Linked DNA regions of Alligator mississippiensis. The protein of the gene in region 1 purifies or fractionates together with the protein of each later gene. This does not show direct contact. Links are inferred from orthologs where the notes say so. Each region holds a gene or a part of one and is shown in the gene's direction. Other genes may lie near its edges. The genes, in order: SS18 and BICRA.

What was found.
Region 2: the proteins of SS18 (region 1) and BICRA purify together in Homo sapiens (affinity purification with mass spectrometry; 3 studies listed by BioGRID and IntAct, counting the BioPlex papers as one, with this or other methods). This does not show direct contact. The link is inferred for Alligator mississippiensis from reciprocal best matches to the Homo sapiens genes SS18 and BICRA.

Annotation. Positions count from the first base shown.
Region 1 is NC_081826.1:85,079,866-85,095,017, forward strand, and holds the start of SS18 (protein SSXT), read left to right. Parts: upstream 1-8,763; 5' UTR 8,764-8,844; coding exon 8,845-8,913; intron 8,914-9,121; exon of another isoform or gene 9,122-9,418; coding exon of another isoform or gene 9,419-9,430; intron 9,431-10,353; coding exon 10,354-10,430; intron 10,431-12,906; coding exon 12,907-12,991; intron 12,992-15,152. Other genes in the region: PSMA8 (proteasome subunit alpha-type 8), read right to left, coding at 717-818. UniProt on the Homo sapiens protein: Appears to function synergistically with RBM14 as a transcriptional coactivator. Isoform 1 and isoform 2 function in nuclear receptor coactivation. Isoform 1 and isoform 2 function in general transcriptional coactivation.
Region 2 is NC_081838.1:1,744,363-1,759,318, reverse strand, and holds the start of BICRA (BRD4-interacting chromatin-remodeling complex-associated protein), read left to right. Parts: upstream 1-8,711; 5' UTR 8,712-9,326; intron 9,327-11,061; 5' UTR 11,062-11,169; intron 11,170-12,233; 5' UTR 12,234-12,289; intron 12,290-14,956. Other genes in the region: ZNF541 (zinc finger protein 541), read right to left, coding at 1-1,010, 2,435-2,678, 4,588-4,861. UniProt on the Homo sapiens protein: Component of SWI/SNF chromatin remodeling subcomplex GBAF that carries out key enzymatic activities, changing chromatin structure by altering DNA-histone contacts within a nucleosome in an ATP-dependent manner.

The DNA of each region.
Region 1 (15,152 bases):
TAAGTCAAGTCAATTTGTCTATCCAGCACGTTTCTTTTAATGCCAGATCTCTCTGAGCCCTTTGTGGGTGACTACATTTAGCCCTGAAAGCATACAGCACTTCCCGCTGGGCTGCCACGAAGTAGGCAGAGAGGCTCTCCTCCCAAAGTTGTCATTAGCCAAGCCCGGATTTGGGTGCCACGTTACCAAAAAAGAGGGAGGCCAGCGTCTCTTTACAGGCCACACTTGCCCATTTCACAGCTGAGGTGCCCTGCCTGAGGTCTGCTACCTCAGATGTATGGGGGGGCTTGGGCTCCTGGCAAAAGACCTCCCTGGCCTCATCTACAGGTCCTCATCTCCGTGGCCTAACCAGTGAGGCCGTATGGCAACCTCCTGAAGGAAGGCCCTTGTGTGAGGCACCCACCCTTCCCCTGGGTCCTTGTGTGAGGCACTCCCCCCTCTCTTTTCAGTAGATGGGACAAGACACAAAGTCAGCTCTCCCGAAGCCTGTGCCTCAGTGGGGCATCCCAGGTCAACACGAGGTGGAGGAGCAGTGGCTGCCACTGCCAGGAGGAGACCCCGGCTGGTCTGAGGGGGCAGGTGGTCACCCAGCCCGGGTGCGGGCAAACGCAGGGCCAGCTCCCCCTCAGCCCCGGGGCAGGAGCGGGGTCTCGCAGAGCACAGCTGGGGCAGGCAGGGGGCTCCGCCTGCACCCTCCCCGCCTGGGGGGCACTCACGGCGGTGGAGCCCTTCTTCACCGCCTCCTGGGCGTACTCCACTTGGAAGAGGTGCCCGTCCGGGGAGAACACGGTGATGGCGCGATCGTAGCGGGCCGCCATGCTCTTCCCAGCCCTGCCCAGCCGAGCCGGCACGTGGTGCGGCAGGGGCGGGGCGGGGCAGGGCGGGGCGGGGCCCGGCCGTGGCCGCATCGGCCCCTCCCCTTGTCCCGGGGGTCCTGCTCACAGCACTGGGCGCGCGGCGGGCGTGGGCTGCGCGCCGCAGCCTCACGCGTGCGCCATCACTGAGCGTGTGCGCGCGTATAGGTATGCGTGTATATAGAATGCAGTCAGGTTGTAGCCGTGTCGGGCTAGAGGAAGAGGCAATTAGGACTCGTAGTAGAGATGATATCTTTTTTTAAAAATGAAATTAAAAAAATATTTTTTTTGCAAAAAGCTTGAAGGGCTAATAAAAGATATCATCTCTACTACAAGTCCTGATTGCCTTTATAGAATGCCATGTCGTCTGTTGATAGATGTGTCAGACATCTATATGGCATTGTGTTATGATGTGATAAATACACGAGTGTGTTTAGGTATTGCTGTGTATAGATGCATTCAGGTGGAGATGCTCAGAGACCCGTGTATGTTACAGGGGTGTTGGCTGCAGCCGTGTTGGTCTCAGGATGCAGCCAGACAAGATTCTTTGGGTCAATCCGATCTCTTTTATTAGACCAGCTCAAATTTGGTCCTACAAATTTGAGCTGGTCTAATAAAAGAGATCAGATTAACCCAAAGAACCTTGTCTGTAAGTATGTTAGAGATTTTAGATACAGGGCAGGCTTTCCCAAACTCTTTTCAAGTATAGTAATGCTAATAACACTGGGTATAATAAATCACATATTATCGTGTGTGTATATGTATGTATACAGACAAGGTTCCTTGGGTGAATTTGATATCTTTTATTAGACCAACCCAAATAGTTGGAGAATAGTTATTAAGCAAGCTTTCAAGTTCAAAAACCCTTCGTCAGGCTAAGGAAGCTTCAGCAGTTGGTGTGTGCTCTTCCTGGATGGAATGAAAAGTGAAGAAGCCAGGGGCTGGGCTGGGGAGTCAGTTGCCAGGAAGATTATAATGTATCAAAAATCCAATGTCTGTGTTTAGTCCATGATCTCCAGTATCCAGGAGGTTGATGAAATGGAGCTCATAGGCTCGTCTCTGGGAAGTGTTGTGTAAGTTTCCCTTGAGGATCAGGACTGAGAGATTGGAGAGAGAGTGGCCCTCCTGTGAGAAATGTGCCCCCACCGGTAATTGGGTGTTTCTGTCTTTGATGGATTTCCGGTGTGCGTTCATTCTGGTGCACAGTTGTTGTTTGGTCTCTCCTACGTATTTTCCATCAGGGCATTTAGTGCATTGGATGAGATGCACACACACACATACGTACATACATACACATATGTATAGATGTGTGTGTGTTTATACATACCTACAGTAGTGTAAGAGTGATGTATCTGAAATGGTCCAGAAATCATGCAAGGCAAGGATTTCTTAGGGTGGTATCTTTTATTGGACCAATGACAGATGATAGATACATATGTGTATCTATCATATATGTATAGATGTGTATGTATACACACACATCTATACATATGTATAGTTATATATTTTATCATATATCACATATGTATTATAGGATTAGTGTGTGTGTGTGTGTGTGTGTGTGTGTGTGTATATATATATATATATATATATAATGTATGGTATGTGTGACACACACACACACACTAATTTATTATTTATTTATATATATAAACCTCCAATAAGCATTTGGATTCACCGGATGCATATATATGTACGTATGTATGTATGTATATATGTATCCGGTGAATCCAAATGCTTCCAATTCCAAGATTATCTGAACATTTTAAATACATAAATCACATGGGACATAAAGGATCTTAAGGAGTGGAAAATAATAAATAAATGTTCCTCATAAAGACTGCTTTACCTTTGAAAGCTTAAGTCTATCTCAGCCATGTGGCTGGTCCAATAAGAGTTTATCATCCACAGAAATCCTGGCTTCTCACATAATTCCTGGACCATCACAGCTACCACATCACTCCACTACTACTAAATACACATTGGAGGTTTTAGTTACAGAGCAGATTTTCTCAAACTCTTTTCAAGTATAGTAATACTCATAAAGCATATTTGTAGGAGTTCAGTGTATTGTTGCTTTCCTTGCCACTCAGGTCCCATAGAAAAAAAACTGCACCACTGATGATAACACTGACAAAAACATTGAGGTGATTTATTTTTGTATTTCGTGCTCCTGTGTTTCATTGCATGTTTTCATTTAACAGCAAAAGAAATAATCTTGAAGATGTGCTAATGAAATACACAGTGACTCTGAGTTGGTACTATATATAGAAATTAAGTTTTATCACAAAAGAACATATGGTAAAAATGTCCATGATATTGCACTTCTGAGATTAGAAAAAGCAATGTAAAGGTAATATGAACAAAGGAAGTGAACTGAAAAGTAGAAAGCCAAAAGGATGCACATGTTAGAGTTAGAGTTAAACTGGGAAATCAAATCAGACTGAGAATGGGAGAAGGAAGAAGAGGGATCTGCAAAGGTGGTGTGGACTTCTGTGGCTGATGCTGTGTCTAGTACCATTACTACCTATCTGTAGGGATTGCTGACGGTCCTTTTTTCCCCTCAGGTAAGGACCAGGTTGGCTGATTTCTATTGTGATTCTTGGGAGGGCTCTGCTGCTTCAGTGCTATGCTTCCTGCGCTGCCCTCCAGCCAAACTTTTGGGGTTTCAATACAGTGTACTAGTTTGCAGTGAATGCTTTATGGGATGTCTCTCACATTATGCCTTATAATACATAACACCATAGTATGCTAAATTCAAATACAAGAAACAATAGCATGCTTGTTCCACTCTTATCCCATGATTATGTTTATCCTCTATTTTCAGCTATAGGTCTAAATTATGTTGGGCCACAAACCCCTGCAGGAAAGTCTCTTCACCACAATCCTATTGCCTTTCAGAGGAGCAGGCAAGTCACCAACATCTTTGCTATTTTTGCTACAGGAATGCTTGGTAGTAGATGGCATCCCTTATGTGTCTTTTCTGATTTGTTACTGACGCTCACAAGTGAAGTCACTGCACTGTAGTACTTTCCCTGTGTGTTGTGAAATAAAATGTTAATCTCTAGGAATTCTTATATAATGTTCAGCTCTAAGGAGGATTACATCAGACGTTCTTATGTTATTCTTTATTTATAGCATACATTCCTACTAGTTTGAGATTCCCTTTTGAAGAATAAAATCAGGACTCTGAAAGATTTTCTCTCTGCAATGGTGCTGTTTGCTCCCATTAATGCTGACTGTTCAACATGGCATGCATTTTTTATTCTAAATATTAACACTTGCAACTAACACGACAGATACTATAGTAAAAATTTAGCATCACAGGGATTTTTTCTGGTTTTGTTATAGTCTCCCTGGAAGACGATAGAGCCACCAATACCATTGTAATGTGCAATAGTATTTGGCTTGTTCATTTTATATCAGAACACATAGGTTCATATTTTAAGCATTGCTCTTTATTAATATTCTACACAAATGTCAAAGCAAAACATAAATGTCAAAATGGAAAGAACTAGGCAAAAAGAAACTAGCCAATGAATACAATAAATTCAAGACAACTTTCTACTCCTGATATAATCCCTTTTACCGTGTAAAAAGCACCAAAAGAGTTGCACCAAATCACAATCAAAGGGCATTTCCCCCCAGTCAGGTTGTGTTTCTTCATTGCGTATATTGTTAACAAACAAATGTTTAGAAACACAGTTTGGACTATGTTAAAAAACCCACCCCTTCAAATAGGCAGAACTCAAAGTGCTGGCCCTGCATTGCAACTGAATTCACTGACACAGCAAACAGTTCCAGGATCAGGCTTACAGCAGTCAGTGAAAACTTGGGGAGAAACTATGCCAAAATTAATCTTTCTTCTTTTTTGGATTTTCCTTCACAGCTATCAAATTTTGATTCCTGTCACTCCCTTAGAACTGGCTGCTGCTGTTTTGTGCTCATGCTGTTAATTTAAAATATTCTGTTTTCTTTTTTTCATGTCAAGATGAGAAAACAGTCTTACCTGGCAAGGGCTTCAAATACACTAACTTTTCTAAATTAACCAGAGCTAATAAACCCAAAGTATCAAAACAAGCTCTTAAAGATACTCTGCTTGCTTCTCACCCATCCAAGGTAAATGTACAATAAGCACTGCACATTGTCAGCAATATATCCAGGCTTTTACTGGGGAGTCATGATAAACACACAGTTTGTTAGAGTCCTTCTAAAGTTTATAATGGATATTGGAACCTTCTATCAAAAAGGTAAAAGCAGGTGGAGGCACCCTGAAACTTTCCCGTTTTTTATTTCTTTTTTGCCTGGCAGTTTTGAAAACGGTAGTGTTACAATGTCTAGCCAGCAACTCTGTGCCTGCTTGGTCATGAAGTAGATTTTTTCTTCATCCCTCTTCTTGCCTGGCTTTTCTAATTCAGATAATTTTGTTCAAATAAAGCTGACACAGAGACAGTGGACTTAGTCAAGAGCTAGGCAGCAGGATACATTTTTCAGTACTATTACAAGATCTCAGTAGGAAACAATCCATAGGTTTCTTCATATGTAAAGTGAAGAAAGATTTCTTCAAAAGTAAAGTAGTCTCAATTAAATGAGTTTTGGTCCTGTCCTGAAGGGGCTAAAATTCCTCACTTGCCATTAACTCAATCCCAATAGGTAGTTTTTTCAGGAGGTCATATGTACTATTCTGCCAAGGTTAGCTTCACAGACAATTTCTCCTTGCTATTTGTCATCTTGGAAATAGAGTAACGGACAGAAAAAAAAAGATGTGAAAACATCAAAATCCTTCATAACAATAAGGAGGCTATACTTTTCAAAGTGAGGTGAGCAGAGGTGGGAGAAACAACTGAATAAAATATACTCACGTTTTAAACTCTTGGTGGTGATCTAGATTTACACATCCAAATTACAATTAAATAATGCTAAGGTGGTAACTAACTCACACTAGAAAAGAAATGTGCAATTAAGGAGAAAATATGCCATATGTCCTTCAATATCTAGGCATATTGTAGTACATTAAGAAAGTCATAAAGAAGACACCCTGTTGTGGTTATGTGTTCTGAGACATGTGGCACATTTTCATTGTAGCTATTTATTTTCTTGCTTGTGTGATCTTGTGCTATTATTTAAATGTAGGCTTTGAGTGTGAATGTTCTTTTCTATGCTAAAACAGTCCTGCAGTATCTTGCCTATATTTTCATTGAGTTTAGTTACTGTTAATGAATATGGAATCCTTACAACTTTACATTATAATATGAAAACAAAAGATTGCTAAGGAAAGGATAATAATAATAGTACTGTAACTGTGTGAGGAAGGCAAAGGAGAGGAACTAGAGAGGTAAAGTTAATGCAGATAACATGGTGATAAGTAAAATATTAAATACAGTAAGTGAAACATCCTAGGCAAATGTGTAGTGAATCTTCTTGCACTATCCTACCTCCCTAGAATGACCTGGACTGAAAGGATTGGACCAAAGGCAATTCTAGTACAGCCAGCCAGCCAGATGAGCATCAGGTCAACTGAGGATACTAATTCAGAGGCCTGGCAAAGGAAATGCCATTCTGAGAGCAGAGAGAACCATAGCCGGCATGAAAGAAGTGAGGATATTGGGTGAATACAATAGTAACTTCCAACAGCACACAGACCCAGTAGCAGTGCAGTTGTAGTGTGGCATTGAGCATGTGCCAGGGCTCATAGCCTACTTGGGGTTTGGGAGGTAGTGGGTAGATCTAGGATTTTGAAAAGGGAGGTGCACATTGTGAGGTGCATCATCACATGTAACAACCCATGTTTTTCTTCAGGTAAAAAGAACCTACAAGTTTTACTAATATGCTAGGGGCCAAGGGCTGTGATATTGTTTGAGGTTGATGTAAAAACAAGTATAACTTCATTGGAATGAGTTAAAAAGAGTCTGCAGGGCTGTGCAATAGGAGCTACATTCCTAGGAGCAGCAAACAGACAGCAGTGTTGTAGAACAAAGGTGAGCTTCATGGGTAGATCAAGGCAATTCAAAGGAGAGAGGGTAGTTTAGCACCAATGGGATGAAGAATTTGGAAGGAATCAGGTGGATACGAATGAGCAATGAAATCAATTGACACCTTTAGCATTGCCAGATGAGAAACGCTGTTGCTACTGCCAGCCTGTTGGTTTTAAACTTTGGGTGGAGCCAGGAATCAAAGTGGGGGCCAGGGGTGGTGTGTGCAGCGAAATGTTGCCAGGTGTATGATAATTATCATATTTGTATGAGTTTCAACCCCTGTATGATGTACAATCAATAATAGTAAAAGTGTTCACCCTGCAACATGTATGATGGCAGACAAGGTTCTTTGGTTAAATCTGATATATTAGACCAACTCAAATAGTTGGAAAAATTCTTAGCAAGCTTTCAGTCACACACACCCTTTGTCAGAATGAGGAAGCATCTTCAGATGGTCTGGTCTCTTCCTGGATGTAGTGGTAAAGCAGCAAGAGGCCAGTACCTATGCAAGAAAGCCATTCAGTTGGTACCCGAAAGCTTGCTAAGAAGATTTTTTTCCAAGTATTTAAGTTGGTTTGGTAAAAGATACTGGATTTACCAAAAAAACCTTGTCTGACTGTGTCCCTAGACCAACACAGCAACAACCTGAACCCCCAAAACGTATGCTAATTTTTGAGACAGCTTATTGCTGCAGCATATGCAAAACCCAAGTCACTGTCAGGGAGTCTTAAATGACTTCTGGGTTTGTTTGTTTTTGTAATTATATTTATTTATTTATATAAAGTTATATATATATATAAATCCTCTATCCATTACTTCTGGATTTGCTTCTAGTACTTTTGTATTACTACTTGTCTCAAAATAAAGAAATGTTTCAACTTTGATGACCCAGTTCTCACTCACTCACTGCAGATAATATAGTGAGCAATATAAAGTAAATAAGAAGACTTATTTGCATCTTTTTCAGCATACCATAGTTTTTCAGCAAATAGAATAATTTTGAACTTCCAGTATGATAATTTCATATTTAGGACTTGGCAACGCTCATGCAGCTACATCACTGCACCTGCCTGGATCTGGCCCTGGAGACAGTGCAGGCTGAGTAAGGCAAGCCTGTAGTGTCTCAGCCAGAGCCTGAGGCAGCGCCTGGGTCTCCCACTGTCTCTAGCAAACAGGAGCTGACTTCAAAGAACGTGGCAGCTTGGCACGTTTCTCCTCTTTGGCACCAGCCTCCTGGACCCAGGGCAGCCACCTGTGGCATGGCTGGAGAATGGGCATCTCTGCCGCAGACGGGGGAGGGAGCTGGAAGAGCAGGGGATGGAGCAGCAGCTGGCGCCAGTGAAGGGCAGGTTTGTGGGGCAGATGCCTCCTGCCCTCTCCCGCGTGGCACAGAACTGAAGCCCACGCGCGTCACAGACGCGTGAGGCTGAGGTTCGCTGGGAGCCCGGCGTGGGCTCTGCGCATGCGCCATCGGGCTCGGGCTCTGAGCAGTCAAAGGAGCGCGGAGCTGCGAGCGCGCCAGCAGGCCCCGCCCCCGCGTGCTCCCTGCCTGGGTGCAACCAAGTCGGAGGGAGGGGGGAGACATCGCGCCTTCCCTTGTCACATGAACATCCTGCCCCCCCCGGGCCGTACCACTTGCCGCCTACTCTGAGCCGGACGAGCGTCGGGTAGGAACGTACCACGTCCCAAGAGGAGAAGAGAGGCGAGGAGAGGAAATGGATCCACCAAAATAACGCACTTAAAAGCCGGCCTTCGGTACCCGCCTACCCCCGCGCGTAGCGGAGGAGCTGTGGCTTCGGGGCCTCCTCATAGGCTGCTTGCAGGGCGCGGAGGAGAGGCGTTACACTGCCGGGGTGTGCACTCACCCCCCTCCTTCGGGATGCGAATGGTGCGGCCCGACAGCCCGCCCCTCCCCCCGCTTGCCGTGGCGCTGAGCTCATGGGCCGGAGCTGCCGCCTCCCCCACCCCGCCCCCATCCGCCGGGCCTGGGGCCGCAGCTGCCCGCGGGGCCCGACATGTCGGTGGCGTTCGCGGCCCCGAGGCAGCGGGGGAAGGGCGAGATCACCCCAGCCGCCATCCAGAAGGTGAGGCGCGGTCGGGCGCTGCCCCCGGGGGCCCGCGGGTGGGCGGAGGTGGGCATAGCCGGGGCTCGGCCCGCGCCGCCCCGCCCCGCACTTTCCCGGCCTTTGTGCCGAGGGATAGGCTGTCCCGTCCGCCCGGCCCTGCCTCCGCTCCCCCCGGCGGGAAGGAGAGCCGCGCAGCTTCCCCGGCGGGCGGCTCAATGGGTACCGCGGCCCCTCTCCTCCGGGAACGTGTCCACTCCTTCTTTTGGGCATCTGGCTTCAAGCGTCGGCTTCCGCAGCACGCGGGGGCAGCAAGTTCGGCTCTCCAGGGACAGGCTGGGTGGAAAAAAAACTTAGTGTTTGTTTTTTGAACGGAAGACCTGCTGCTTTTGTGTTGTGGCCCCTCGTTCCTGCGTGAGGAGCCGTGTTTGCACGCCTCCTGCGCTAAGGTGGCGTGCCCCATGGCGCTGCAACGTCCTGCTTGAGAGTCATTGGTGCAAAACTTCCAGCAGTAGCCAAGCGCCTAATGAGCTCCATGGTATTGCCACCTCTCTTTGCCTTTCAGGGTAAATTTCAAGTTCAGTGGGAGGAGAAATTTTCTCCTGGAGATGCGTGTGGCTGGCTGTTATGACTTTCATTATTTTGGAGGGGTGCAAGTTGTAGCCGTATTGGTTTAAAGACATAGGCAGACAAGGTTTCTGTGGGCACATCTGATATCTTTTATTAGACCAACTGAAATAGTTGAAAAAAATGTTTCTTAGCAAGCTTCCGGGTTTAAACACCCGTCATCAGGCTGAGGAAGCACCTGCAGTTGGTGTGCACTCATTGAGAAACTTGTAAGAGTCCTTTTTGTGGATAAGTAGGAGCTGTGCTATTTCATGACAATAGCTTCTGACTAAAACATTAATACATGCGAACTCACAATCCCAAAGGCATATACAGTCTGGTAGAAAAATCATACCAGTTATGCCAACTATTAATAAAATGCTTCATAATTTCTGATTTTGTTTTTCAAAAGCACTTCGTGTTGAGGGCTACTTGTAAGTAAGTTTTTTAACTTTTTTTTTGCCTATATGTGTTGTTGTTCTTAAATCAACATTGCTTTCTAGTAGGGAAGAGGACTTTTTTTTTTTTTCATAGAGTTTCCAAAACAAGCATCTGAGCAAAGATCAAATGTGGAGTCTTTTGAAACATTAAAATAAGAAGACAATAGATGCTCAAATAGAAAATCTTTGGCAACTGTAACTTTAGTAGTGACTTGACACACAGCCCTAAAAATGGAAAGTGGGGAGAGAAGGATAAGAGGAGGGGAAAGTTCTACAGATGCAGTAGCAGACCCCTTTTATAAAAGCACTTTTTGAACAGTCATGTTGGTTAGGAAGTGGAAGTCAGTATCGCTTTTTCAGTTCCTTTTCAAAGAGTGTTTAAACTTATTCCATGTTTATGTTTTTGTTATTTCAGATGTTGGATGAAAATAACCATCTCATCCAGTGTATAATGGACTATCAGAATAAAGGGAAGACCTCAGAGTGCTCTCAGTAAGATGTTAATCTGACTGTATTTTTGTAATTAGTAAAATCAACGATGTAACTAAACTCCAGTGTGCTCACATCTTCCCATGAGAGAATTGTGCCAACTAGTTTGTAAAAACATTCCTAATGATGCTGTGTTCTTGATTTTTTTTTTTTAAATTTAGCTTATTAATATTTATTTTTTCTTTTTCAAAGCGACAGAAGTTCTATTTTAATTTGATTAGCATATGTTAGATGGAATAAAATGTGTAGAACCAAAAATATATAGATTCTTGCATATGTTTCAGTGTCTTAATCATATCTTGAAGAGAAGGGTTAGATTACTTGAAAAAATTGGGAAGAAACAAGAGTATGGAAGAGGAAACTTGAAATGGATCCAAAACTTTTACGCCCAACCAAATGTGACCTCTTCTTGCTATAAATGAATGCATAATGACAAGCCTGTTTTTGGCCAAGAAGAGTTGGTTATATTTCCATTTGGAATTAGTTAATTAATGTTAAGAAAGTACCAACACAAACCCCTTCATCTTAACTTTCTGCATTTACTTTGTGCTGCTTTCAAATGCTGCTTGATTGGAGAGTGACACTCAAACAACTCCTTCCTGCTGCTGTTGCTCGTTCTTTGAGTGCTGCCCCACTAAAAGATCGTGCTTGTATCTCTGCACATAAGGTTAACAGTAGTATTAGCAGGAATTTGGTGCTTTTAATTTTCAGTGTTTTAGGTTACTAGGGAAGCAGCATTTGTAGATTCATAGATTATAGTCTCGCAAGGGACCCAGTGGATCATCGTGTCTGACCCCCTGCCCCTGGCAGGAAAGAGGACCTAGGTCAGATGACCCCTGCCAGGTGATTGTTAAGCCTCCTCTTTAAGACCTCCAAGTTAGGTGACAGCACAACCTCTCTTGGAAGCCCATTCCAGACTCTGGCCACCCTTATTGTAAAAAATGTCTTCCTAATGTCTAACCTAAATCTACTCTCCGCTAGTTTGCACCTATTATTCCTGTTACTCCCTGAGGCGCTCTGGTAAACAACGCATTCCCAATTCCCTGCTGTCCTCTCCTGATAAATTTATAGGCGGCCACAAGGTCACCCCTCAGCCGTCTTTTGTATAGCCTGAAGAGATCCAGGTCTCTCAACAGAGCACTGAGGCATAATAGGACTTTGGTTGGATTTGCATTTTATAAGCTAAATGCGTGCATGCAGTAGCTGAAAATATCTCTACCAGATATTAATAGGTATATTTAATAATTCTCCCTGGTGTTCTCTGCACAGTCTTGTTTATGGGTTTCAGTAATTATAATGTTGGCTGGGTACTTAGCTTTAAATCACCTTTTCTTGCTTTCTGTTTGCCAGGGAAGGTGGGAATTTACAATAATCTTCAGTGGTTTATTGTCTCTCCTACTGCTGCTTAATTTTTGGCAGCCTAGATGCCTGGTCTGTGTTTCTTGGTTCCTTTTGCTCCTGAACTATAATCTAGATTCCAGGACCCTTAGTCACTTATTGCCTGGTTCTGTAGAAGTGTGTCAGAATCATGTATTATAACCCTATAAATTCTCTTCTATTTTGTGAAAAATACAAAGCAGGAGGTATTAAAGGCGGGGCTAGGGGGAGAGAAGTTCTAGAGAGAGAAAACAAAACAATGTTAGTTGTACCACGTGCAGCCATTTTGCAACAAAAAGATGCATTTTGTGGAAAGTGATTTTTGATAACCAAATTGCCCCAATTGGAATCACAAAGTCCATGTGGCTCCAAGTGTGAGTACTGTTTGCACACCTAAGTCACTGTTTCAGGCTCTTTGTAACCTTTAAATAGAGGCTTAAAAACTTGACTGCATGAACAATTATTGCTGATGGCAAGAGCCAGAGTGTAGAGCACTTCAGCAGCAACAGGGGGTAAATTGTGGCAAATCCTGATCATTTGCATATGATATCCCTGATCCTGATTTGCATGTAGGTATCATTTCTTGCTGCTGAGGCATGCAAATAAGAGAGAAATGAGTTCTATGCTAAGTAGTACCCATGCGTGTGTCTCCAGAGCATATGCCAGTATTGTGCTGAGGTATACTGTGCCTGACGGAGCTACCCTGTGTGAAGGAGGCTCACTATGTCTTCACACAGCACTGTAGATACCCAGTGGGTCAAGCGGTAACAATGCATATGCGTTTTTATGCAGCTTAGCTTCCTTTACTTACCTGGAGCAGAGACTTAAATGTAATCTTCCTCTGTTTCTGTTGTGCTAGAAGAATGCATAGAACATGTACAGGCATAACCTTTTTCTGAATTGTCAAAACATAGGTTAGTGGCAGAGATGGAAATGTGGAAAATGGGCGATTTCATAAAATAATTCCCAGGATCTTTTGAACCTTGATGGGAGTAGTGGAGTTACCATATAGTATCTACTGTATATGTAAACTTGGAGAACGTGAATGAAAAAGTTGTTGTCTCTTAGCTCCTTTTAAACCTGTCATGCTTTGTTTTGATAGGTATCAGCAGATGTTGCATACGAATTTGGTCTACCTAGCCACTATAGCAGACTCCAATCAAAATATGCAGTCTCTACTACCAGCAGTGAGTACCTTTTGCAGTAATATTAGAACTGAGACAGTCATCCATATGGAATTTTGATAGTATGAGAAAACAACAGGAGACTACACAAATTTTTGGATAAGGGAATCTCTTCATGTAGGTCCTTGGAGCCAGTAGCTCTCACTGCACAGCTTTTTTTTCCCCTATGTTTCTCTCTCAAGCCAAGTTAAAACTAGTCCTGTGGTTTAAAAATAGCATGCAGATGCCTTTGGCCTGACACAATGGAAAGCTCTCACCTCCTGAACTAAGGGTGTCCTTGGTGTGAAACTGTTCCACTGCTGCAGGTTTAGCCAGCTCCTGTAACAGTTTTCTGTCTTCTATATATGTGTGCTGAGTTGGGAGAAGTCATGGCCACAGAGTGACATTATGGCAACCTCAGTTGGCAAAAATTAATTTGGCCTCTAACTGGCTCTTGCGTAATTTCTGCATCATCAGTTTATGGCACTGTATTATGATAAAGAAGTCAAAGATAATTTGCACGGGCTCACCTTTGAGTTCTTGTTTGATCTTCAGTGCTTCAGTTTTAAAATCTTGATGTTGATTTGAAACTGGTTTTTAGTTGGAACTTTTGCGAATAGATATTCTTGCAACTCTCCTTAGGATATAAATTACCATCACCACCCCTTTTTTTATTTTCATAACCTGGTCATTTAGTGACTGTTGCTGTAATGTATGGGAAAGCAAAGAGAATGGTGAGGGATAATAGCTTCCACCTCTTTGCTTCCCTTGGTAACTTTATGTATAACAACATAGACCCAAACAAAAAAGTCTGTAATGTTGAATAACTCTAGGAAGTTCCTTATTTTTGGTAATGTAAGTTGAAATTTAACCAGCTGCTTCAACATGCTCTTTTTGACTTCTATGACAAGAGGTTATCACATCAGTTTTTAAACTAAAATTCTGGTGTCTCTGGAGAGCTCTGCTCTTATCAGGGGTGGAGCATTCTTTCACTGAGTACCTAGAGTAGTGGCTCTCAACTTCATTAGACTTGAGGCATCCTGCCAAAAATGTCAACTCCTATTTTTCACTAAGAAAGTGGTTTTTCTGTTGTGGGCCACACAGATTACAGGAGGTCAGAATGTATTTAGCACAATGGAGTCTTATTTGAAATATTTGGGTTTATCTTGTGAAATATGTTTGGACACCTAATAATGCTAACATTGCATAGCATCCTTGAAAGGATCTTAAGGCACCCTAGATTGCTACAGCACCCTGGTTAAGAATTGCCAACCAAAAGGACTATAGGAACATGGTCTTCTGTCCAAAGAAATCTACTTATTGGTGCTCTTTTTGAGCATTGCATAATATGCAATTAATTTATTTACCTCCTTTATTGTTTAGGTCTTCTGTAATTTATATCCTGGTCCTGATCATAAGTAGAGAGGAGTTTCATCTTGCTCTGGTCATTAGTGGGCAGTTCTTTATTTGCAGTTAAATCTGGAGGCAGTTCCTACTCAAGAAAAACAGTATTGGGATAAGATGAGTTTGAGCTGTGGTTCTCAAGTTATATAGGAAATCTTCCAGGAAATGTCAATTTCTTGCTAGTATCTTCTTTTTCTTCCCTACATTTATAAATAAGCTACATGCAGTATCTTATTAGCCTTTTTTCTTTTTGGGTTTTTTTTTTTTTTTTTTTTTAAATGAATTGCAACTCATGGTGTGGCTTTAAAGAAAAAAAAATGAAGCGGGCAGTTGTGTCCAAATGTGTGACATTCTGGCCAAATTTTCAAGTATCTGATTTATGTGGTAACTTGATCAGAGGATAGAAAATAGTTCACTGCATACTTAAAATCAGTGTTGAACACACAGTACTGTTTTTTCACACGTACAACATGTCCCTATATGTAGTATGCACTTTGTTTTTTGAGGGAATCTGACAGGAGGGGAAGAAAAAAGGTTCTTTATATGTAGTAAGTGAGTAGTACAGGGTTAGGTAATTATTTGGGCTGGAGGGCCACTTAAGGAGCTTTGGTGAGCTGTTGCCAGGATTGGAGATCCTCTCTGGGCCAGTCTGCTCTGCATACACCATTGGGGGTACCAGATTAAGTAGGTGGGGTCTCTACCAAGACTGGCCAGGACCCCTGTGGGCAAGGCACACTTGACTGGGCAGATGAGATGGGGCCACGGGCAGACAGTGACAGTG
Region 2 (14,956 bases), on another chromosome or scaffold:
CACTCTGCTTCTGAGTGTCCTGAAGGTTCAACTCCCCGTGGTTCTGCCACCGATAGTAATCAATATCGCATCCATGCCTCTTGGTTCGCCTAAAGGTTTCCTCAAAACTGCTGAGCGTCGTTTTACTTGACATTTCCCCTGGTGAATTAAAAGTCATGGGGGTGAATGATAAAGTGTCTGGACACTCGTATGCCTGTGCAAATGAGTCAAATGCATGAGAAGGCCCAGCAAACCCATCTGAAATGTCCTGACCCGAAATAGCACACACTGGCATGTTTCTAATCCACTGGAAGTTCCCGCTGCACTGAAGGGAGTTTGCCGAGATCTTCTGACTTCGAAATAACGGGAAACAAGGTAAAGCACTATTTGGCCAATACTCCTCCCCCGTCGTCTCAAGAGGGAACTGTGGTTCTGAAAGCAGGGGCCTATTGGTCAGGTTTGTTACTAGGCTCTCCCCTGGGGCGATCACAGATAAATTGCTGGGATTGATTATGGCATACACGCTGGAAGAGGCAGTACTCTTTTGACAAGGATGAGGCTCCTTCAACACGTCACCTGTAGTTTCAATATGGGCTGCAGTGCTAGCTGGGAGGCATAAAACCTGACCAGAGGAAGAGGAGCAAGGCTGCAGGGACTCCTTCAAGTCAGTGTCTGAATGCCCCGCAAAGGATACTGCAGTTGATGGAAGTTTCTGATTTACGACGCTGCTCACAATGTGCTTAAAGAGGTCTCTGTTGGGCACGACAGAATTAGGTCTGGATTCCAAGCGCCCGGCCAGCTTCTCCGTGGTTCCCACACCGCCTCGCTCTGCTTGGACACGGGCATCGCGAGAAGGTGGTGAGGCCTCGCAGGTACCTTCGTCGCTGGGCATCTCCTTCAAAATACGCAGGCCGTGCTGAGACATTTCGTAATGCCGGCGCAGCGAGCGGTGGTCACAGTAGCTCTTGTTGCAACCCTGTTCTATGCAAATAAACGGTTTGGTTTTCTGATGTGTTAGCATGTGTGCACTCCTGGGACAAAGAAACAAAAAGACAGGAGCTTCATATTAAAACTACTAACACAAATGCCGTCACTTCTGATCTAAACTATAGCAGCTCTTGCATTCTTTAAATCCTTCCTACCAAACTCAGCACTGAATGTCAAGTTCAGCTCTGTGCAAATCAAAAGATGCACAGGGATTAAATCAAGGTACAACTGACCTCTATTTGGAACAGGTCCACAGAGGTAGGCTGCTTTTCCACTCTAGAAAGCAGGACTAAGATTCCCACTCTCCATCACTAAGCTGGGCAGTCTATCGGTTTCTGAATCCCATTCTAAACTTACCTCTCCCCCTTTCCAAAATTCCCTAAAAAGGTGTTTTTCACCAGCCAGCCTCACAAACTCACCCAGGGCCCTGTGAGCCAAACTGCATGCTTCACACACTGCAGACTGAAAGTTGTCACGTGTGTCTTGCTCTACCCTGCTGTTTTCATATTATGCCTGTGAAAACCTACCCAAAGAAAAGGGTAACACTAAAGGCATTAACTGAAAAGAGAGGCAGAACTGATTACTTAACAGGGCTGGCAGGGATCCTCTTACTGTGTGAAATGGAAAGAACCCTGACTGTCAGCCCGGTCAAGCACACAGGCTTTGCAGAGGAAAAACATCTTGCAAGTTAAACAGATTTGGTATTGGAATCGCTACGAAGATATGCACACGGTACTCCACAATGCCATTTTTGAGGGAAGGAAATGCTTTAAAAAGATGCATACTAATACTGTATTGTCATATGGATTTGAAACCTCCAGCCACTCCGCTGGGATTGGCAATTGCATTGCTCTGATGAATCAGGCTTGCTATGTTCAGTCCCGGACCACTGCCACTAGACTTAGAAACCAGAATACACTGTTAAAGGGACAATACCTTAAGAACCACTGAAAATAAGAAGAAATACTGTCCAGCAGTTGAAAGGTCTGAGATTCAGGGTATCAAATGCATGGAGAGGTAGTTTTCAATCGCAGTGGTTCCTAAGATATTGGCTGCTAAAACGACACATGGGAATTCACTGTCCAGTACAAGTACTTTCAGAAGCCCAAGCTTCTCCCTGGACCACTGATCAGAAAGAAAAAATACACGCTTGTGATTGCTACTCTGCTGCGTGAGATTGTCGCTCCTTCTCGTTTTACGTTGGTATGAGGCCCCTCCTGCACCACTGTACTCTGGGAACACCAGAACTAACTTGCATCTGCTCTTGATATAGTTTTGAAGTATAATTTGACAGTTTGCTGGCCTGCACAACGCCAACAGCAGCATACCAAGCCCTGTACTTGTGTCAGCCACTAAGCTGCACTGAAATAAGAAAATGAGGTCCTACAGAAGTAGATACATTCTACATTTCTTTAAAAAGCAACTGAATGGGATTATATATTTTTTTTGTTGGTAAATGCCTACATACAGGTGATCCGGACGCTTAAAAGCCTTGCTGCAGACTTTACAGACGTGTTTCCTCTCCTGGCTGTGAGTCAGACAGTGTTTGCTAAGGGAACTAGCACTGCTGAACACCTTCCCACAGAAACTGCAATCCAGAAATGGGCTTTGAGGAGAGCTGTGCTGATGCTTTCCTTTCCTGGCACTACCAGTATTGGATCTGCCTCTTTGTTCAGCTTCTTTAGGTGCTGGAGGGGCAAGAAGCCCCAGCTCTAAACAAAGGGAGAAAGTTACACTCATTAGGTCACACATGGTACAATATAAATGAACCTCACACCATGAATGTATTAATTTAACTTAGCCAAGTTGAAATACTTTTCTTTTAAATTCTCGCTTACCTTTTAGTTGGGAGCCTTGGTTACAGACTGAGATTCTCAGTATGAGCATTACATACCCAAGCTCTTGTTGTACATGGTCATTAGAGTCATATTAGGGGGCTGGACCCGATGATCTTGCGAGGTCCCCTCCCGCCCTAGTGTCTATGAAAATCCCCAGCACAGCCCTACCAAAATCCTTTGGACCAACAATTCCCACTGCTGTTCCAGTCCTGAGTTTTCCACACACAGCTCTGTCCTGACCTGCTACAACCTTTGCATCTTAGTCATCGCTCACAACAATGCTTGGCGGTTTCAGTTCTAAACAATGTGACAAATTCTGCCAAAATACTTTCCCTCTTTTGGATAAGCAGGGGTAAATAAGTTTAAAAAAAATGGTCTAGGGGCTAGGGCACAAGACTTGAAGAGAAGCTGGGGGCACTGGGCTTATTTAGTCTGCAGAAGAGAAGACCAAGGGGGATTGAATAGCAGCCTTCACTTCCCTGCAGGGGGGCTGCAAAGAGGATGGAGCTGGGCTGTTCTCAGTGGGGGCAGATGACAGGACAAGGAGTAATGGGCTCAGGCTGCAGCAAGGGAAGTTGAGGTTGGATATTAGGACGAACTGTTCCCCTAGGAGGGCACTACAGCACTGGAGCAGGCTACCCAGAGAGGTGGTGGACTCTCCATCCTTGGAGGTTTTGAAGACCCAGGTAGTCAAAGCCCTGGCTGGGATGATGTAGTCGGGGCTGGTCCTGCTTGGAGCAGGGGGTTGTGGACTAGATGACTCCTGAGGTCATTTTCTATGATTCTGAATAAGATACTGCTGAAGAATACTACACTTGAGACCTAATCAGAATTTAAACCGAGTCCATCAGATAGCCAACTAGTTAAAAATCTACTGAGCAATTTAAATAAAGGTTTATCAAGATACTCTCAGATTCACTAGCTATGAAACAGAACAAGAAAAGACAAAGCTAGATGCATTACAATTTTCACTATCATGTTGCCTAATCAGTAGAAACATCAGCACCAAAAGTTCTCAGGAAATATGTAACAAAACGTATATATTTTAGCACTACCAGTTGTGTCAGTCTCTTCTGTTTTCAAAATCATCTGTATGATCGCACATCCACATCTGCAATGATGCTACCCTGATCTTTAAAGAATAACATTTCACTATGGGCAGTCTCCTTTTTTAACTTTTAACTGCGGAACTGGAGAAAGCCAATTCTGCCAAACCTATTTCACAGAGAGCTTGAAATGCAAGAACAAATAAGCAGAATGTCTCTTCTATGCTTCAGGGAAAGCTAATAATGTAGATGTTAGCAACAGATTCAGCAGATCTGTCATTTTAATGTCTTTATATTTTCCATTTGCAGCTGGAGAGCAGGTTGTAAGGACTCCGAACAGAACATATTCCTATCCAGGGCGCAGTTTTAAGGAAGCGGAACAGAAGGGGAAGCATGACTATCACTCTGTAGTATTTTAACAATTATTAATTATTGTCTATATAGCACTATAAAAATTCATGGCAATTCACAGGTCAAGTAAAGACAGCAGGCAACATTTTTACAAGTGCCTATGTGATGTAGGAGCCTAGGATTCATTTTCAGAAAAATCATTTGAAAAAAGGTCTTTTGAGGTCCTAAATCACTTTCGAAAAATGTACCCCACGTCCTGCCCCAGAGATTATCGCTTAATGCACTCTAGCTTTGAAAATAAACTTCTGGGTATGCTGAACTGTAAAAAAAGACCCCCTGCCATAACCCTGCAAAACTATAACCCAAAGAAACTCCGACGTACTTACCATGCAAAGAAGGCTGAGAGTCAGAGTCAGACTCATTAAGGAGTTTAGCTGAATCACAGTCCTTCACTGAATACAAAGAGAGTGCATCTAAATTGTCCTCTAAAGTGTCCATAGCTATATCTGTGGCTGAAGGACTAGGATCCATATCTAAGCTGTTCAGGCCAGCATACATCATGTCTCTCATGTCTGAACACAAATCATGGTTGAGAGGGTCACTGCAGTTCAGTCTTTGACTCTCTGAAAATCCAGGAAGCTGCATGTGATACGGATCCATGTCCACCCACCTTCCGAGGTTTATTTGGAAAATTGGCTCTGGTTTCTAGTGGACACGGCTTAAAGACTGCATCGGAGTGTAGCAAGCCTCCTAAACAAAAGGTAACAGGGAAAAGTTAAACAGCAGAGATGAACTGATAACATTTAAAATAATCAAAGTGGTATCAGTAACAATAAATTAACACACATGTAAACCAGCCCTTATCGGAAAGGACTCAGAATAAATACTTCTGGTTTGCATTTTAGATACAAACGTGTGTTCAGATTGCAGCTATTAATCCTAGCAGTGAGGCCAAGCAAAAAGGCACCTTGTGTGCATGATTAAAAATTAAATAGCACCGTGTGTATGGGAAAGTCTGTGACCCAAATACGTTTGAAGTTATCTAAAGTTTCTTAGAACCGTCTAGCCCTCCAAAAAGTTCTGATTCTCCCTTATTTCAACAGGGCCCGAAGACATCTAATGCCACTGTTCCCAATGACAGCTCTGTAAGTATAGCGTAACATACTTGGAAAAAAAATATCCGATGAGGGACAGGGTCTGCACTGAGGTTTAATTTAATGCACTCTGCATTGTGCATCTATGCAGAACAGAAGGTACCCATCTCAGAGGTGAGATTCCCACAACTACCAACACAAGATTATTTACTGCTCTATCTCTTCCCTCGTAGCACCTGCGCTCAACACAAGTTTTCGGCAAACAAGTTAAAATTTTACACGAGGTGGAAAAACAGTGACACCTGGGATTACTTTGTTATACGTTAGTCTTTTTAGATACAGGTACTGAGTTAGATACGTCAGATATCCTTCCTTTGTTCCCCACTCCCATAGCTTGAAAAATATTTAAAATTTCTTTCCCGGTTTTTTTATATTTTCCATTGAAATGTGAATAAAAACAATCTACACAATGCATTTTTCTTAGAATTACATTCTTCTTCCTCCACCCAGAAGTTTTTAAATGGAGGGGGGAAAAAAACCTGGAAAAGTGATTTTAAGTTCTTTCAGGTAATGAAGCCACAAAACTATTTAAAAAGTGTCCAACTATTCCATGAGTCTGGCAAATCTCTTTTAAATCAATTGCAATTTTTGCCTAAAAAAAAACAGCAGGAACAGGGCAAAGCCATCAAGATAATTATTCATACAGACAAGTCAGGGATACCCACGTTCCCAAACACGAGGGAGAAATAACTTGTTGGAAAGTACCTCTCAATGCAGTTCTAATCACCCCCCCCTCCCCAAACTTAAACACATGCTTAGCATTATATTCATTATTCCCATCAGCTGCAATAAAACTATTCATTATGCATAACGCTAATCACAGACAGATGTTTTCACAGGATTGGGGCCTCAGTACGCCAGGAGCCAAAGAACTGCACCTCATTTTTAAATGAAGGGACCAATCATGCAACTGTTTACATAGGCTGGACTCATTTAGACTCAAGCTCGATCATATTTATTATTCAAATTAACAAACAGGCTCGGTTCTAACGCTCGGTTAACATTTGAATCTGCTCTGCAAGATGAAAAGTCCACTGCCAGCATTCCCCCCAAATCTAAACCTGATGCTGGCCAATGCTGTCTTCCCATAATTACGACACCTTAGGTGGCTGTGGGACATGTTTCAGACCTCTTCAACCCGCAGGTCGCATATTTAGGACTCTCAAGGGCTGTGCTTTGTAGTGCCGAGCTAAAAAGAAGAGAATATCAATTATACACAGCATTTCCTTTAATCCAGCCTTTATAAAAAAAAATAACATGGAGCGGTGAGGAAATGGAACAGCCTTGAAACTCAGCGCGCCACACTACGATGGCTTGAGACGCCAACATCTTACAGGGAACCGGGGACTAATTTATTATCGTGGTCGGATGCGCTCAAATTCTAGGTGCACAGGTCTGCGCTGCACCGGCTGTTTTAGCACGGAGAGATGCGAGAGGTAGCCGACACGGCATAAGGGCAAGCTGACGTGGAAGCTCTAAAGCGAGATGAAGGAACGAAAGTCTCCGTGCTAGGCCACGGAGGAGGAAGAGGCGAATCCGGCGGCTCTCGACCTCTTTAGACCCAAAGCAAACCTGGGAAAACAACAACTCCGAGCTTCCGCTCGTTTCTCGAGCGCAGAAAAATAAGAGCAATTCTCTCGCAAAGCATGGGGAAGACTGCAACGGAGCAGACGCTTCTCCTGTTTGATGCTCGGAAGTCTCTGCATCCCTCCGCTCGTACTGCGCGGCACTCTTCAGAGGAGCTCACATCCCCCCCCCCCGTTGAGTAGACCTGGACCCCAGTGCAAGGGAGTGGGGGGCACTGCTCTTGCCCCAGGCGGGGCCAGTGGCTCTGGTTGTATCCCGACCGAGGGCAAGAGGCTGCTGCCCTTATTTACCCCCTTCTTCCCCCTCCTGCATATTTACTCCTGCCCCGATGGGGGAAGAGGGGCCGTTCCCTGACCAGGTGCAGGGTTGTCCCTGCTCCTGCCCTTGCTGGAACGGGAATTTGCCCCACCCCTGCTAGAGGGTTGCTCCTGCCCCTACTGGGGGAGATATTTGCCCTTGTCAGTGGGTTGCTCTTGCCCTTGTTAAGGTAGATATTTGCCCAGCCCCTAATGAGGGTTTGCTCCTGCCCCTTCTGGGGTAGATAGTTGCCCCTGCCGAAGGGTTACTCTTACCCCTAGAGGGGTAGATATTTGCTTCAGCCCTTGCTCTTGCTGGGGTAGATATTTGCCCCTGCTGGGCAGCTGCTCTTACCCCAGTGGGATAGATATTTGCCCCAACCGCTGCTGGGATGTTGCTCTTGCCCTGCTGGGGTAGATCATGGCCCCTACCACTGCTGGGGTACATTATTTGCCCCTGCCCCTAACAGGGGACTGCTCTTACCCCTGCTGGGGGGGTGCTATCACCCGAATGGGGTAGATAATTGCTCCTGCCAGGGTATTTGCCCCTGCAGGAGGGTTGCTTTGCCCCAGTGTGGTAGATAATTACTCCTGCCCCAGCTGGGGTTGGTATTTGCCCCTGCTGGAGAGCTGCTATTGCCCCAATGGGGTAGATAATTGCACCTGCCCCAGCTAGAGGTTGCTCCTGGCCCTGCCCCAGGCCCTGCTGGAGGGTTGCTCCTGCCCCTGCTGGAGCAGATATTTGCCCAAGACCCTGCTGGGTGGGTAACACCTGCCCCGGCCCCCCCCGCCCTCGGGGCGCTGCCAGCCGCGGGGGTCGCCCCCACCCCGGGCCCGGATGGCGGCGGATGCTGCGGCCCTACCCGTCGCCTCGCGCCGCCGCCCGCGCACGCGGTCCAGCCCCGCCCGCAGGAACGCCGCGCATGCGCACCAGCGCGCGCGCAGCCTCCGGGCCAGAAGGGGAGGAGCCTCCTGGGTCACGTGACGCCTAGGCGGGAAAAGGGAAGGGGGAGGCGACGGGGCGGCGCCATGTTGTGGGCGGGGAAGACGAGGGCGCGAAAGTGGGGGGGGGGAGGAGCAATGCTGGGGGGTGTGGGGGCATAGAGGGGGATCACTGGGGTGCACGTTTCTGCTGTGGGAGGGCTGAGGGGGCCACAGGTGTGGTAGATGTTGGAGGAGCCTGGGGCAATGCTACACTGGGGGGGGGTGGACACCAGGGGCAGCGTTGTAGGAGGGGTGGGAGAAAGGGGGCACTGTTATGGGAGGGGTGGGGAACATGGTGGGAGGACGTAGGGGTCACTTCTGTGATGGATGGGGTGGGGGACATGGCACTGCTGCAGGAGATGTCAGGGGGGTCGCTGGACAGTGGTGGGCTGTGGGAGGGGAGTTGAATTGGGGATACAAGGTATAGGGGAGAAAGGGTATGAGCAGGGGAGGGGGAAAGGGGGGTGAAATAAGGGACAGAGGGAAGGAGATGAGCTGTGCAGTAGGAAGGCAGCCATGCGAGGAAGGTGTGATGGGGAGCTGCAAACAGGAGAGGTGTGTGGGGGCTTAGTGGGCACTGCAAGGGAAGACCTTAGGAAAGAGGCTTGGAGAGGCGTGTGTTTGGAGCGAGAGAGGGCAACAGCACGAGGGGGTCATGGAGCAGGAAGCAGGTGTGAAGAAGGGGGAGCGAGGAAGAGTTCTAGGGAGAGGAATGAAAACAACAATGGGGACCAGGGAAGTGCAACGGGTTGGGGAGACGGGCAGGGATTAACAGTTGAGCTAAAGGAGGGGCAGGAAGGGACTCCTCCCCACCCTGCAGAAGATAAAATTGAACTTGGTTGTGAACCGAACGCCTTGCCAAGACGATAGCGGTGCACAGACCAGCACAAAAATACCCAGATATGATCAACGTATGCTTCCTTAGTGGGAACGAGCCGTGCCAGTTGTAAAACATGGTTTTTAGTGGCTTGGCTGGTCCAATTGAGGAATCCGCACTGTGGCGATGCTGCTGGCGTTTGCAAGTGAGGATTCCCGTGCCCATCGTGATATGAGAAGGTGCTTTGTTTCGGGAGGTGACATGAGAGACACCACTACCTTCATTAGGTGTGTACAGCTTTGCAAAGTGGGTCACTGGATCAGAATAATAATGCATGCCTCTGCTGGGTATGTCAATGCGAAGAATGAGCGCTAATGTCTGTTTGCAAGATCAGCATTGCTTCCCTTTGGGAGAAAAAAAATCCAGTCCAAATCTCTCTCTCTTTTTGCCTATTCAGCACTCTTCTTCAAGTTGCATTTGAAGAAACAGCCTTTATCAGGAGGGTGGTGAACTATGTGTGCGTTGCCTCATGAGTCAAAAATGATTTTTATGTTGGTATTTGGCATCAGATATTTGGTAAAAACTTGATGTGCATCTGATTAGCTCTTCAAACATTACATTTCTTTTGTGGTGAACTTTCCATCTTAAAACACTCCGATATCATCCAGAGAGATGTGAGTTTATGTTGTTCACCTTGATGTTGTGTTAATTTTATTTCATTCATGTTTTGAATGTGGTTCATGATCTGTTAAACCAGCAAAGGTTAACTGTTCAGTGCCTGACCAGAAAAGCAAATCAATGCACTGTTTATAGTAGGACTTCCTGCATTCAACTAGTCAATTATTTCCAGCTTCTACTCTTATAGCCTTATGCCCACAAAATGTGAAGAGTGACACTTGCTACTATTCATGATAAATGAGTAACTAGAAGGAAGGACTAACATGTCAAGACTGAAAGACGGGCATGGAGTCTACACACACAGTTTAATTAGCATAAGTGTAAATTCATATATCAAGAGCAGGTTGATCTGTAGGCAGGTAGCTCTTCATAGTTGCATCAGTTAGCATGAGACATTGAAGAAGTCCTGGGGTATAGGACTGGCAGCTCCCTGAACTGAGGGTACCTTCATCTTCCCATCTGCATTCAGGTAATCAAACTCAAAGCCAAGGGCTGAACATAGTTCAGGGAGAAAACAGATGGCAGCTGACTGCAGGAGCCAGACAGGGAGCTCTGGAAATACAAGATGCACCTACATATGCTGTTTTTATTGTTTGATTTGGTGTTTAAAGCCTGCTCATCTGCATACATGAAGACTTAGCCTATTTTATTACAGCTTGCACCAAAAAAAAATCCTTAATAAACCTAGCATACAAAAAAATCCCTCTAATTAAATTAATTTCCTTTCCTCTGCTGAACACAATTATGTAATTTAAATACATCTCAGTCATTAAGTTTCCCATTTAGGATAGAAACTGAATTAAAAAAAAAAAGTTAAATTTGTTTTCACTGTCAAGTTAGAAATTGGGTCAAGCATCTCTCTCTAGCATGAACTCAAGTTGGGCATTAAGTTGGCCCCATATATATTTTAAACTCTTTTTTTTTCTCTGATAGAAATAATTGCTCCTTGCCTCAGTTTCTCCATTTGTAGTAGGGGAATTATACTGATGTACAACACAGGGCAGCTGTGAGGCTTAATGAAATCGTGTTTGTAAAATGCCTGTACTTCAAAGCCTTCAAATCTAGCTTAAAGTCATTGTAATTATGGTATTGTAGTCTAAATGTAATTGTATTGTAATTATTTATATGCATGTCTGTAATAAGTACCTCCAGGCTGTTTTGGGGACCATTCTCCTCTTTCCTATGATTGAGTTATTTAATAACGTTATTCTAAAGAACTGATCCGATTTTCAACCTGGTAAATCTGGTAGAATATCCCCTGTCCTGGAATATGTTCTAGGCCATTACTGCTCCCTGAGTAGTAATAACGTTCTAACTGTACCAATGAAAAAACTCTATTATCAGTGTTACAGCCCTGGTCCTGCTGAGAGAGCAGTCATCTGGAGTCACCTGTATCGCCGTAAAATAACTCAGAAGAGAAAAGACAGAGGGAAAAAGATCACAGAACTGAACGTAAGTAGTCTACAGTGCTTTTAAAACTATGCTGTTGCAGCAGCTGCCTCCTGTTACCATAGTTCAGTAATTAAAGCAGAAGCCATTTACAGCTAGGGAATTTGTTTTAAAAATTAAGGGCCAGCCTTCATATGAGAAGCCCTCACTGATGTAAATAGCACCATAAAACCAGGGTTTGAAATGGCTGAGATCTGCAGCAGCATCATTACCAAAAAAAAAAATTAACCTTGTTTATTTAAAATGGAACAAATAACATTCATGTTTTTTTAGGACATTTTTATTCACGTGTTTACACAATGTTTTAGAGTGAGTTTCAGGCCATCTAAACTTGAAAACTGGAAGCTTCATAGAATTCCTGACTGATCCTTTGCTATTTTATTAGCAGCAAGAATGAGTCTGCTTTAATAAATTGAATATATAATGCTTATATAAATCCTTTAATCCAGAAATCTGAAATTGTTTTACAAACACGGATCAGAGTTGCATCTTGCAAAGCAGCCCCAAGTTACTTTATCCATTTGAGAGCTGGGTAAGCCAAGGCAGAGGGACGCTGGTTCGGCACTGCAATACATCTCGTGCAGACATTAACAACATCGTGAAGTGGGTGTAAAATCCCACTGCTATGATTCAATACCATTTTTCACCCATCTAGCTCAAGAGACACAGCAGCAGTGAGTTGGTCCCAGAAAAATTCTGTGTGACACTGTAATTAATTATGTTTAATGGGCTAGATCTTTGGCTCCATTGATATTAGTGGGGTTGTAAACATTAGGTTAATTAAGTTTTATTTAGTCTTTGTAATGCTGCTTGAGGTCTTAAGTCAGAAGGAGGCCTGGTAACTTAGTCGTTGGAGCACAGGATTGGGATGGCTCTGTCACGGGTCTGCTGGTGGTATGTCAGTTTGCCAAGCTGTGCAAAACAAATAAGGACCCTGCCTTATTTGTGAAGTGCTTTGAGGTCTGGCTGTTGATAAGCACTATACAGGAACTAGCTGCCTCTTATCATCCTCTTCTCTGCAAAGTGCTAAGTATTATTTAACCTGCCTCTCTGCTCTGGTTTTGAAGGGTGGATTCCATGGGCCAGATTTTCTGCTGCTATCAAGGAGCAATGGTGCATTCAGGTCAGTGGGGCTGCATCCACTTACAAGAATAAAAAACATTACCTTAACAGGTGTGCCTAGATGAGTGCGGACGCTTGGTTCTTTGGGGACAAGTAGCAAACCATGTGCCCGAGGAACGTCCATGCCAGATGTACTCTGCACACGGCAGGTTACCCCAGGTGGGGTAGCGGAGGCTGGGGCCAACAACTGCTGGTTCTTGCAGCCTTACCTGGGGTCCTCCCATAGCTGCAGCTGCAGCAGGGAGCATGGCTCCAGTGGCCAGCCATGCTCTGGCACATGCTGCCACCACGTGAACCGCTCTGCCTTTTTTCAGCGTGGGTTTTTTTTGATCCCAAGATCTTCCAGGGTCAACCCCTTCCCACCCCCACACACACTACAAGGTAGCAGCGTGGGAAACACCTGCACATGCAGCGTGTGGCGCCTCAGATGGATCTACAGAACCGCGTGCCACACATCCATGCTCATGTGGATGCAGCCCAGCTAGTCCACTATTTGAAATAACTAAGGTCACTATCTAAGGTGCCCCAACAGTCTCAGCAGCCTCAGGATTGACTCGACTAGTCCAAATAGTAGACTTTTGCAATGGGGAACCCTCTTGCCACTCGTAATTTATATTTTTCTTTCTTTTGGTCTCTGGAAAAGAAAAGGGGGAAGCGCCTGTTAAGTTAGGGAAATGAGATGCAATTGGAAAAAAACCTTTCTTTACCAAAAAAAAAAAAGAAAAAATCAATATCAGCTTCTTCCCATTTGGAAACATGCCCTGCTCCCGAAGAGCTCGGTTAAGGGTAGCATCCTTTCAAGAAAAGAAGCCAGTTTTAGCAATCCTGCCCCTCTGGGTTAGTCTAATTAGCAATACTTGTGGCTTCCTGCCAGGACCTTTTAGTAAAAGATAGACTTCATTGGATTTATTCAGCTTTCCGCCTTCGGGTGGAAGAGCTGAAATAAAAATGGAAAAAGAAGAACCCAGTTCACGTGTGATTAAGGGTGTGCTTCATTGCGTTCAAAAGCCATCAAGCGATTCAGATTGCACCGTAATGTAGCTAAGAAGAGGAAACACCATGTTTCACCCTCGTTTCCCTTTCTCCACCCTTTTTTTTTTTAGTAATGAGTATTGCTCCAATCGGTTTGCCTTCCAAATTAGCGTAGACATCTTGCAACAGAAGCCGTCAGTTAGTCTCCCACGGTGGTTTGGCAAGGCTGCTCGCGGGGCCTTTTCTCAGTGCTACAAAGCCCGTCCTCTCTCCTCCTCCTGTGCAACTGTCACCGCACTCGGTTCACCCTGTACTTTTATAGCGTAACGCACCAAAATATAACCCACTCCCACTCCTAGCCCCACCCAGGCCTAAACAGAATGTATATCTAATTCAAATCCAGCCAATGGAAGGGTATAAACAAAACCGAGAGCCCTGCCTCTCAGAGATTAATTATTCACGCCGGTCAATCACATTTAACCTGTCTAATCAGGCTGCCGGCTGATGCGTCTAGCCCTTCCCCTTACTTTCCGAGCTGCTCCACTTTTGGCCAATCCAGAGCGGGCCGCCTTTCCCTGGCAGAACCAGTTTATAATTGGTATGCCGAGGACCTTTGCGTGAGCTGTGCTTTGTGCTGCCTGAACACGGAGCCGGTTCGAAATTGCGTCTGAAAGTACAGTGGGAGGGCAAAGCTGCTGGCTCACGTTGGGCACTCTCTCGTGCCTCTCATTCAAGCCAGCCAGAAAATTTTGCTGCCTGCTTTTGCTCCCCTGCTCAGCCGCCAAAACAATATTATAAATAAATACAATCTTGTGAAAGGACAGGCTGCTTTTCAGCAGTTCGAGCTGGGCCCAGCCCCGCAAACTTTTTATTGCCCTATCTTCTGTACCTGATCTTGCTGGATATGCCCCGTCCTCAGCCAGTATGTGAAACCCGACGGCTACGTGATTAATTTAGTCGCAGAAGTGCTAGAAATCCTGTTTTCAGTCAGCTTGGCTGTACAGTATAAGGATGACTAACACTGTTGGTTAAAACAATGGACTATGGGGGCAGGTCAAAATCACCACAAAAAGCAGTGTTCTGTTCCGTGCCTAGAAATCTTTCTGATATCTGACCCACGAAAGGTCTTTGGGGAATCCAGAGTCACAACTGCAGGTGCTGTTTTCCTCCCAGTTAACCTGCTTCCTCCACAATTAGAGCAGTATCTCCCTCTGAACCCACTAAAGCCACAATCCCACTAACACCTAGAGACATGCTTAATTTAGGCGGCGTAAGTTAAAAACGGCCTTGTTTCCAGAATCAGTTCAGGGATGATTTACGAGACAAGAGTATGAATATAGAAACTGTTGGTAAGCGGTACCCACCGCTGGTCGCAATCCTGCCTCTTCTCCAGGATTTATTCTAGATTTTTTTGCTGAGCCAAGATTTAGCGTGGCAGGAACGACCTGGTGAAACTTCTCTTCTGAAAGGATGATTCATAATTACCAGAAATCCAGAAAAAAAATTAAAGGGGAGGAAGTAGACGTTATTACAGACTAATATTTAAAGATGTAAATAAACCTTCCAATGTACGTGCCCTTACTGTGAACTTCTTTTGGTTTTACAAAGAAGTAGGCTGTACTGTCTGGTGGATTGTTCTATTTTAATGCATTTCTTGGTTTTGGTTCTTAGTAATAGCACTACTGCGTTGCATTTT